2 linked regions of the Drosophila melanogaster genome follow. Changing the gene in region 1 together with any one later gene gives a genetic interaction. Each region holds a gene or a part of one and is shown on either strand. Other genes may lie near its edges.

Region 1 (6,026 bases):
GGTGTGGGGTATAGATGCTGAGCTGCGGGAAATGGGATTAAATTAATTTCGCAGCTAGGAAAAGGACCGGGGATCTGGAATCTTGAAGAGATCTAAAAGTGGTAAGCCGCTTTTAGTGAGAAAAACTACTATTAAATCACATCCGATTGTTATGAAATTCTACAACTATGTGTATCTTGACTAAATAAATCATTGTATTTAAGGATATATACATATCACATTCGTACCTTTATTTATGCACATTTTAAAGTAAAGCAATCTATAAATGATGTACATCTCCCAAGCTAACAATGTTTTTGCAATTTTAAAGCGATGGCCGACGTTGATGAAATTATAACTAGAAATGCAGACAGCTATAATGATTGCTATTGAAAAAGTTTCTATTATTATCCAAATACCGCCAAAGGTCAGCACCCAAAAGCAGATCAAGTTCGCCGGAAGTCGGGAAGCTTCCTGGATCCCTCGATTTATATGCAAGAAAGCAACCCCTGGCGGAGATCAAACAACCCTGAAATCTAACCAAGCCAGGAACCCATTAACAAGGGTGCGTCGGGATCGGAGAGAATAATAAAAAACTGGATTCGCTTTGTTTTCCGATATTATTTTGTTCGTTTTTTTTTTTTATTGTTAGGATTTCATTTCAGTGTGGGGATTTTGTCGCCTTGGATTTTTCACTTTTTGTTGTTGTATATAATTTATCTTAAAGACAATTAACAATTATTATGGTACACAACTAGATGGTTTCTCTCATTCTATATGGTATGGCTTAAAAAGAACGCTATATATGTTTGTATGTACAGACATGCAAAAAAAAATGCCTTAGCTACTAGATTGGGGGAAAAAAAATGAAAAAAATTCAAGTTCTAGTCTCTACATGTATAGTTAATATATGTGTATGTATATATATATATATATATTTATATAATATTATATAATGCCTTATACGGTATTTTGTGAATTCAAATTTTTTTTTGATTTTCACATTATATTTTTATATCAACAATAAACACTGAAAAAAAAACACACACTAGATTTTCGTTCTACGCTTGCTTTGTTGCCGTTCTGGGTTTTGGGACATTATGGCATTTGTTTCATCAACTTTCAACTGTAACAATTTTGGGAAGGATCGGGGACATCCTAGGCGGTGGCATGTGGATGATAGGCCGCTGCCCACGCATTGTGATGGTGCGGATGTGGATGCGGATAACCGTAACTGGCTGTTCCCGCACCAAAATCAGCCGGATAACTGGCCGCATACTCGGACTTCATGTGGCAACTGGAGCTGGAATCCTGGCTAGCTCCGCTGGCCAATCCGCTCATGGTTAGCCCATATTCCGCCGCCAGCTGGGACTCACTTTGCATGGCAAGTGCGGCATAATGATGCTGGGCCAGCGCCGTGGCTGATGCGGCTGGGGAAGATGCAGATCCAATGGCAGAAACGACCGCTGCCGCTGGGGAACTGGCGCTGGAGGATGAGGATGAACTGGCTGAGGTAGTGGCTGGTTGTATGGCACGGCTGCTGCTACTGCTCCACGGCTGCTCCACAAAGCTGGCCGCCGCCGATGATGTTGTCGTCGTCATCTGCTGCTGGAAGAGCGGCGGCGGTGGCGGCGGAGGATTCACACTCGATCCGGCGGATGTGGAATGCTGATAGAGATTGGCATAGGGCGCATAGTTGACCAGCGGTGTCGTATCCGGCTGCTCCTGCTTGAATTCCACGGGTGGCGTCAGTGGCTTACCCGACTTCTTCTCCTTCTTTTCCAGCTTTATCGCCGCAGCCGCCTGCTCCTTGGCCTCGGCGGCCAATACCTTCTTGCTCTTCTTGTCCTTGAAATGGGTCTTCTTGTGCTTGCTGAGGTGATCGCTGCGCGAAAACTTCTTGGAGCAAATGGGGCAGGCATACGGGCGGTAATTGGTGTGCGTACGTCCGTGCCGCTGCAGCTCATCCGATCGGGAGAAACGCTTGCCGCACGTGAGGCACAGGAAGGGCCGCTCGCCGGTGTGCCAGCGCAGGTGGGTCTTCAGATGCGACGCCTTACCGTATAGCCGTTCGCAGCCCGGAATGTGGCAGATATGCTGCTTGCGTCCGCGCTCATCCGGACCCACAATCGGTGGCAGGCCGCTCATCTCGTTGGTGCAATTGGGACACGTGCAGCGAACGGAGCGGCGTTGCAATTGCGTCTGGAAGGCGATGTCGTCGAAATTGAAGCCCGGATAGCTCTGTGAACTCCATGGCTGATAGAGGCGCTCCTGATGCGAGAACCAAGCGGCCGAGGAGGACATGCCCACCGCATTGCCGTAATAATCGGAGGCGTACTGGGCATATGGAAACTGACTTCTAGATGGAGAAAAGAAATGAAGACAGAGAATGGTTAATTTGGTTTTTTTTAATCATTTACTTAATGGGTACACCTGCTATCGGAATACTAAATTGTAATGTATTCAAGTGGTACCTATCATTTTATAAGTTTATGAGATTATTTGTATGCTAATCCATTTCAATCTTCGGGATAATTTGATTAATATATTCCTATGTATTAAACTGTATAATTTGCAAAAGATATATGTCTTTATCTCGCTCATGATCGAAATACAATCAGCCTGTAGTTATTCTATTAAAAGGAGATCTAATTCAGATCGAAATTAGTGTATCCCTAATAACCACAAATTTGATGATCTATAAGCTTTGATTTATTGATCACTAGCATTTTAAAGTTTCTTTCTTACGAATGATTCCCAACTCAACTTCTGTAAATCCTATATATAGGGATATTTACCTCGCTGGCCCCAATCCGGAGTAGGCGGTATTCCAGCCGTAGGCGGCACTGGCGACCGCCGCTGCTCCAAGGTCCGCTGCTGCCGCCGCAGCTGCTGCTGCCGCCGCTGCAGCCGATGCTGCTGACGAGGATGGTGAGGAGGATGTGGGTGATCCCGCTAGGGCGCCCGCTGCCGCCGTTGTTGGTGGCGCCAAGGTCGTGGTGGGCGTGGATGGACTAGCCGAAATGGAGGCGAATGACTGGGCAGGTGATGGGAAGATGCTGGGCGACACGGAGGCCGATGATGGCGCCGATTGTATGCTGGAGTTGGGCGATGCGGTGCCCGTGGATGAGGCCTGTGGATACGGCAGTTCCAGCTTCATTGGCGGCTTTCCATATAGCGGAGAACTGCCGGAGCTGGAGCCGGAACTCGAGCCGGATAGGGATGGTGGGGCGGACAGCAGGGCGGCGGCGCTGAGGAAGTCATGTTGCTGCTGTTGCGGCTGTTGTTGTTGCTGCTGTTGCTGCTGCTGTTGCTGCTGTTGTTGTTGCTGCTGCTGCTGTTGCTGTGTCAAGTGTTGCATATGCTGCTGTTGCGCCTGCTGATGCGACAAGTGCAGATGATGTTGCGCCTGCTGCATGTGCAGATGATGTTGCTGTTGTTGCGCGTGTTGCTGATGTTGCGCATGTTGCTGCTGCTGCGCCTGATGCTGTTGCGCATAGGGATTTAAGTAATTGCAGGCCGCATCGATCATGTTGAAAACGCTTGCGATTTTAATGTTGCGCTGAGATTTGTTTGGATCCTACTGCTGCGATTGCTGCTGCGTTTTACTGCTTCTGGTTGCTACTGCGTTCGTTAACAATTTTCGCACATTGCTCTTGCACTTATTGATATTCGCTCGTGTAATTATGGCACGCTTTTCACTTTAGTTTTATAATTATAGTCTTTTGCTGCCGCGCACGTAATTGCGAGCACGCGGAGGAGAACACGGAAAAAACACAAACAAATTAAAGGCGGCCGAAAATTCGCCAATGCTGCGTGCAAATATATATATATATATATCCCTCTATATATACAAATCTATATGCATATATATATATATAGATCCGAAAACGAGCGAGTTTCTCTGCTGCCACTGCGGCTGGCTCTTCTGCTTCTTCTTCTTTCGTTCGTAGTGCTGCTGCTGCTGCGCGTGATGTGATGTGATACAACCACCGGTAATTATCGTCGATTGTCGACTGAATTCCAAAACGCGGCGAGAGAGTCTAACAACGTACAAAACGAATCCACTTGGCTGCGGGCAGAGGCGCGGGCAGAGGGCAGCGGCAGCGCTGCTGCTGCTCGTGCTGTCACATTCTCGCACTCGTCTATCGCCACTGAGCGCTGAGCCAGCTCTCGCTCTCTCTCGCTCTCGGCACCATCATGGTGGTTGTTTTTGGCCGCAACGGTGTGCCTTCGGGGCAACTCGCTTCGTCTCGCTTGCACGTGTGGCGCGGAAGTGTCACTCCCGGCAGCAGCAGCCACTCTCCGTAGCTAGCTCACTCTCTCTCTCTCTTTCGCTCTTGCGGTATGGTGCTCTCTCTCCACGTTGCTGTTGCAGTGTTGTTATTGCTGGCGCTGCTGCCGCGGGCGTTTTGTTTTAATTTCTATGTGTGGGTTTGTGTGTCAAAGCAATTGGGTGAGCATGCGTTTTGTTGTTGCTGTTGTTGTTGTCGTTTCAGCTAGTGCTCAAAATGCTTATATTTGTTGTTATTGTTGGTTATATCTAAACTTTAAGCCAAAAATGTTGGCTTAAATTTAATGCAAAGTTTGTATTTAAGAATATGTGTAAATAATTTACATTATTAGCATTTTTAGTGAAGTATTTGAAATATTTGATTAGTGAAGTATTTGAAATATTTTATTATTTAGTTGGTTAATCTATATATTCCATAATTTATGTTTATTTTAACCCTATCAACCCCTCAAAATGTGTATAAAATAAATAACGTATTCACGTATCCTTTGCAATTCAAAATAAAGAGCTTAGCAAATATTTTAGAAAAATTGTATTAATTTTTTTTAAGTCTGCTAACTTAGAGATAGTTTCTAACTACAAATTTAGTTTTTATTTTCAATTTTAAACATTTAAATTTCTCATATAAACCTTAAGTACACACAAAATATAGGTATTGTTACATATATCCGACCGATTTTTAATGCCCATAAATTACTCGACATTTTACACATTTCAAGTACCGTCATTAAAAGCACGAATATCTGCTTAAATTCTCATTATCCCCTTGCCCACTCAGACCATCAATTTGTTTCGATGAAAGTAAGCAGACAGAGAGAAAGAAGTATGGCTCATCACTTTAATTAAATTAAAATTTCTGTTTAATGGCATTTTTCTCCAGAGGATCCCAATGATAAAAAGTAACGTTAGAAGACGAAGAGGGAGCGTGCATAATTCAAATATCAATACAATAACAATAAAAACTAATAAATTTGTGGTCGCGGCCCAATGAAATAACTGTATTTAAAGGGGCGTTGACCAAACACCACCACAAAAGAGACAGCAGCTCTCTCCTTCGCTCTCTCTCTCTCGCATGGCCTGCGCCCGTTTCGTGTGTGCGTGCGTTTGTGTATGCTTGTGTGCCGCATATTAATCACAATTGCTGTTGCTGTTGTTGTTTTCGCTCCCTTTTTATTACGCGGCGTCTTTTTTATTACGCATACGCAACGTGGGTCTGAGCCACAAATTTTACGACTTGCTGCTGCTGTGAAAAGATAATGATGACTCCCAAAACGGAACAAGCTCACGGAAGTGCATCTCGACTCTTAAGCTACCCATTGTTAAGATGAATATCATTATGTAGGGGATTTCTTGGGATAATATGAGATTTAATGTTTAACCAACTGATATGACTCAATACTATTGCACTCCAAGTATTTCTGAGTTTCAGATATATTTTACTATGTGTCAAAAATTGTTAAGACTTTTTTTAATATTGTTCAAATAAACATACAATTTGTTATGGGCTTAAATAAAAGAAAAAGTTGTTGTTCCTGATTTGTCAGTATTATTCGTAAGTGAACAAGTAGTTTGTTACAATACAAACAATTGGAATATTAACTATTAAATATTTTAGAATACATCAAAATCGAGTATGCCCAAGTTGGGCTTTACAGGGTACCAGCCGCACTTCTGGGCAACATGTAATGAAACGGAAGATACAATTATATTGAGGCAAGCAGGGCAACAACGAGGAGCCTGTCTCGTACTGGCA
Region 2 (4,809 bases), on another chromosome or scaffold:
GTCGAACTTGAAGTGAACGAGCAAACAAAGCCCGCAGAAGGCGACCACAATGGCTCTCGACGGCGTTGAGCTCTCGAGTTGAAGTGTCGCCAAAAAATAGACAGGGAAGCAACGAGCGAGATCTTTTCAAGATCTCTTTCTCAACAAAAGACCCGGATCTCTGGGAGAGTAGGTATGGGATTGGGACTGGGATTGGGCCTGAGACTGATCGGATAAGGAGGAGCAGTACTTACCATCCTTCGGTGGACTGGCGCAGGGCGGGGCGTAGCTGCCCAGATGGTAGCCGGAGTAGGAGTTCTGGTGCATTGGCGGGAACGGGTAGCCGAGGGCGCTGCGCGGACTGGGGAAGCCGGAATCCTGGCCGCCCTGCGGTCCGAAATGCTGATAGGTGCTCCGGATGCCGCCGTACCTGGAATGCCGCAAATGCACGGAAAATAATCAATACGGGGCTGTAATATAGCTGTGGCAGTTGTGGAAGAAGTAGTGGAAGTAATGGAAGTGGCGTACACCGGCTGTGAATGTGAATGAATCGTGCCGGGGACAAAACTTTTCCTACTTGCGTGTTTTGTCTACACTTTTCACTATTCACTATTAAATTCAAACGTCGCCGAGCATAGGACGAGCGTTCGGTCGGGAAAATATCTAAAAGTGGGCCCAAAATGTTTCATGTTTAATGCAAGAAGCGTCGAAACCAAAACTTTTTCTCTCACAACAAAAAATTAGGCTGGCGGAGAGGAAGGAAATTTTTGCCATGACTTCATTTACAAAAACCAGAACCGAAACCAAAAACAAAACCAAAACCTATCCAAAGCCCGAACTGGATGCGGCTTAATATATCAAAGAAAAATCAATACGAGTGTCAGAGTCGCTGTGTTTTAGTTTCGGTTTGGTCCGCAGTTCCGTTTGCAGTCCCGCTCGCTCGCGGTAAATATTTTGTTAACACTTTGCGGGCGAAACAGTTGAGCAAGTTCCCATGCATTATGTTCCGAGCGAACTGCATGAAATATTCAATGCTCTCCTGGCCCCTCAAACACGGAAACGGAAGCGGGCCGAAAGCAGCAGAAACCGCAACGGACAGCGGCCAACGGACAACGGAGAACGGACAACGGACAGCGGACAGCGAACAGCGAACAACATGGCAGCCACTCCGGGGACGGAGAAAAGTCGTGGCCAGGAACAACTCCCGAGGGCTGGTCGGCGCAGCCAAGCATTCCAAGTCCCGTCCCAGCCCAAGAGCCCAACACGCACAAATGACAGAGCAGTGGAAACCGCAAGGCTCAAAACCAAGAATGCAATAAAATATGTATAATGAAAAATCGAATCGTGCGTTGGGAAAACAATTTGCGGCTGCAAACAGTTCGCCGAGTGAGCGGTAACAGTAAACAGACCACCGAGCCCGACTTATTGCTACCCCATGAGGAACGTGTTGTTGGATAGGAACAGAACCCTCCGGATCAGACGCTTATTTAGAACACGGACCGGGAGTAAACTACACTTAATTGAATTTATTTTTGGCTTCCGCTGCCGGCCAGCCAGGCACCAGCATGAACTGTAAGCCGGAAAGTGCAGCTGAAGTGATTTTCTTAATCAAAACTAATAGTATAGCGAGACCCCAACGCGAAATCGATCCCGAAAATAGTATCATAAAGATGGAAAGCTGACGGCAACTTTCATCGATTCAGTCTTAGTCGATTTGGCTGAGGGCCTAGAGAAGGCTAAATGGCGAATTGGCAAATTGAAATTTAAAATTGTGATTTCGAATTTATACTACATTTGTTACTTTAGAAGTACATTTTTATGGAAGTCAAAATAATTTTTAACTTTGGATTACATTGACGAATTCATAAATCTACAATTGGTTGCTTTCATTTTTTAAGACAACTAATAATTATACAAGTTTTTTAATAGTAAAATTTATGTATCGATCGAAATAAGACTATTGGCTATTGTAATGTAATCAGTAATTAAGACCCTAAAAAGTTATATGAACTACTTAGACAATATACTCTTGAGTTAACCTGACTTTATTTAACTGCTTGCTTTTACCAACTGTTATTTATTATTAAAAATTGAATTTGTTTATTGTAATGTCAATGTACTATATTATCTATTTATGCAATTATGCAGCTTGTAGTCCTATGCCAACTAACTTTTTCCCTTGAAATGAATGAAATGATTTTAAAGACCAAATGGTTTTATGGTACGTATAGCGCTCTTTAGATTCATTAAAAAGATTCATATTCGAGTTTTGGGAACGCCCTGGCCACAAACTCCTTTTTTCTCGGGTGTGTCAACTGCTCCGCACAGATTGAGATTGAGTTCCGATAGGTTTGGTTTTGGCAGGGCTGAAGTCTGGAGGGGATCGAGTCTTTTCGCCGAAACACTTTCTGCAATCCTCCCGGTGACTCCACTCCACTGATCTTGGGGACACTCACCCGGCGGCGGCGTGCTGCTGCAGCTCCACGAAGGCGGACTTTCCCGGGATGTTAATGCCGGGCGTGACGCTGGCCGCCGTGTTCCCGCCGTCCATGTACTTGGGCGTGTGCGGGGCGTCGGGGGCGTCCATGCCCGACTGGGGGGTGCTGGGAGGCCCCTCGTAGGGGCTCCCTAGGTCCGTGAAATTGAGCGTGTTGGCGCCTATTGAGGCCACTTTATCAAGAATTTTGACGGCTGTTCAGGGGGATGCGCGCGGGAAGGAAGTTCTCAGAGATCCGATGGCAATGATCAGCTATACTTGCACAGTAGGAGTGTGTGGCTTGCGTATCTAAGGTTTTTGTAGGACACAATGTCTTGGCTTCAGTTCAGTTCGGCGACTTGATTTGGCGGAACTGTTGAGCGCGTAAATCCTTTCAGATGGCGAGGAGGCACTTTTCTCAGCACTGACACTCAACTTGTTAGCAACTCAACTCACTCGAAATTGCTTTCTTGTATCACTTCGATTTCTGGCTGTGCATATTCTTTGTAGATTTTCACGATTTTCAACTCCGTTTTGCGAATCAATCAAATCAATTCATATCAAATCAGATCAGATCAGATCACTACAAATCACTTTATAGTCCGCGACGGATCACTTAGCTCGACGCAGAAACGCAAGGCGCAAAACGCTACGACGGATCGACGACGGCAATTCAACGGCGAGAACAGCGGCGACGACTGCACACGAACAAAGTGCGTATACGACTAGGTGAGGTTTTCGCGGCGCGGTTGCGCGAGACTTCGACTCGCTGCGCTGTCGCTTTGCGGCCGTGCCGCTTTGCCGCTCTGTAGCAGTGGTGTGCGAGCGGCGCAGATGTCATCCATCGCCGTGCGTCGGAGCGGGACGGCTGCTGAGGCCCAAGCCGCTGGCAGTGACTCTCGCCGAGCGTCGCCAATCGGGTGGTTTGCAACCGGTTTTCTCGGTGGTGTCTCTGTATGGTGGTGCAGAAACCGCACCAATACTATAAATTTCCCCGTTCCGGGTGCACGGGGGTGGGGCTGGGCTCTGGGACCCCGTTTTTGTGCCGCTCAACTCGTCAACTTTGTCTAGGTCTAGGGCCCGCATCGAGATTGAGGCGTGGCCTGTCGCCCCGCGTCCCCACGGATTTGGGGAACTTACGGCGTGTATATGCAAATTCCAGGGGGAACTGCCCGTGGAAAGTGCAAATATTTTGACGTTTTAAATAATGTTGATTAAATGCAAAGGTCTCAATTATTAAATTGATTGTTGAACCTATAATTTGTCTTCTTATTTAGCCGCTGCTCCTTTCGGGTCTTATTTTCGGATCAATCGAAACTGTGGCACACGCATTTCCACGGGTAATCAACAGTTGCGGACAACAGACGAATTAACTTAATGATTTGTTTACGTTTTACAATCGGTGGGCTTGCTTGTAAGGAAAAAACGCTACGCACACAAACAACATAGCGTGGTATATATGACAGGTCTGCTATCATTTTCTAATGGAACCTTTAATTTGAAAATCCTTTCTAGGGAGTCTTAAAGCCTCCTTGGAGTTGGTACTTGTGGCGCCACCTAGTGGCCGCCTTTGGCAGCGACAAACCAGTCTATCGGGCCAACCTGCTCACCTGTCAAACACACACACACACACCCTCGCAGCCGCACTCGTACACACACATACTACCTGCGCACCCAGCACGCCCCCTGCTGAGAGCAGAAACTCCCTCGCCACGCCCCCTTGAGCGTTTCGAGAGAGGGCAGAGAGCTCGAGTAGGCCCAATTCAAAATGGCGTCCTTTCGGCCACATAATGTCGCTTTGTGGCTAGGGCCAAGCGACACGGACCGTTTGCTCGAGCGGACTTTTTCATTCACAAGACAAAGTCACCGAGCGGAGAGAACAGCGGAATTTCCACCTTTGTCCGCCTAGCCTAACTGGCAGTTGAAGCGGCGGCAAAGCGGTCTCCATTCCACCCCTTTCCCCTCTCCCAACAGCAGGCAGTTGTCACCTGAGAAGGATTTCCGCTGAAAGTGGGAAAATATGCATATGCATGAGTCGGAGCGGCGCTATTAACCAGAACCAGAGTGCCACAAAAATCGAATTAAGTTTGTTTATAAAAGTAAATATAAATCGAGCATCCAGCGGTAATTGAGCGCCTGATCCGACTGAAATGCTAATCCCCTCGTCCGGATTGGATCGGATCGGATCGGCTGTGGAGCCCGCCGTTCCGAGTTATGACCTGGTCGGCTGCGCTGCACTAATTTAAGGTAGCACTGCAAATGCACGTAATTGTTGCAATTACTTAATGAAATATTTATTAAATGCAAATTATGATTAGCCCGGGCTAGCCACTGCACTGCAGCTACTGTTCCTT

What was found.
Region 2: of btd (region 1) and Dll, changing one suppresses a phenotype caused by changing the other (phenotypic suppression), as found in Drosophila melanogaster (one study listed by BioGRID).

What each region holds. Positions count from the first base shown.
Region 1 is NC_004354.4:9,692,159-9,698,184, reverse strand, and holds btd (buttonhead), read right to left. Parts: upstream 4,000-6,026; 5' UTR 3,512-3,999; coding exon 2,778-3,511; intron 2,339-2,777; coding exon 1,138-2,338; 3' UTR 627-1,137; downstream 1-626. UniProt on the Drosophila melanogaster protein: Required for the development of the antennal, intercalary and mandibular segments of the head.
Region 2 is NT_033778.4:24,813,194-24,818,002, reverse strand, and holds the start of Dll (Distal-less), read right to left. Parts: upstream 3,182-4,809; 5' UTR 2,567-3,181; coding exon 2,436-2,566; intron 410-2,435; coding exon 234-409; intron 1-233. UniProt on the Drosophila melanogaster protein: Transcription factor that plays a role in larval and adult appendage development. Specifies the identity of ventral appendages (including legs and antennae) and suppresses dorsal appendage development. Involved in patterning the distal-proximal limb axis.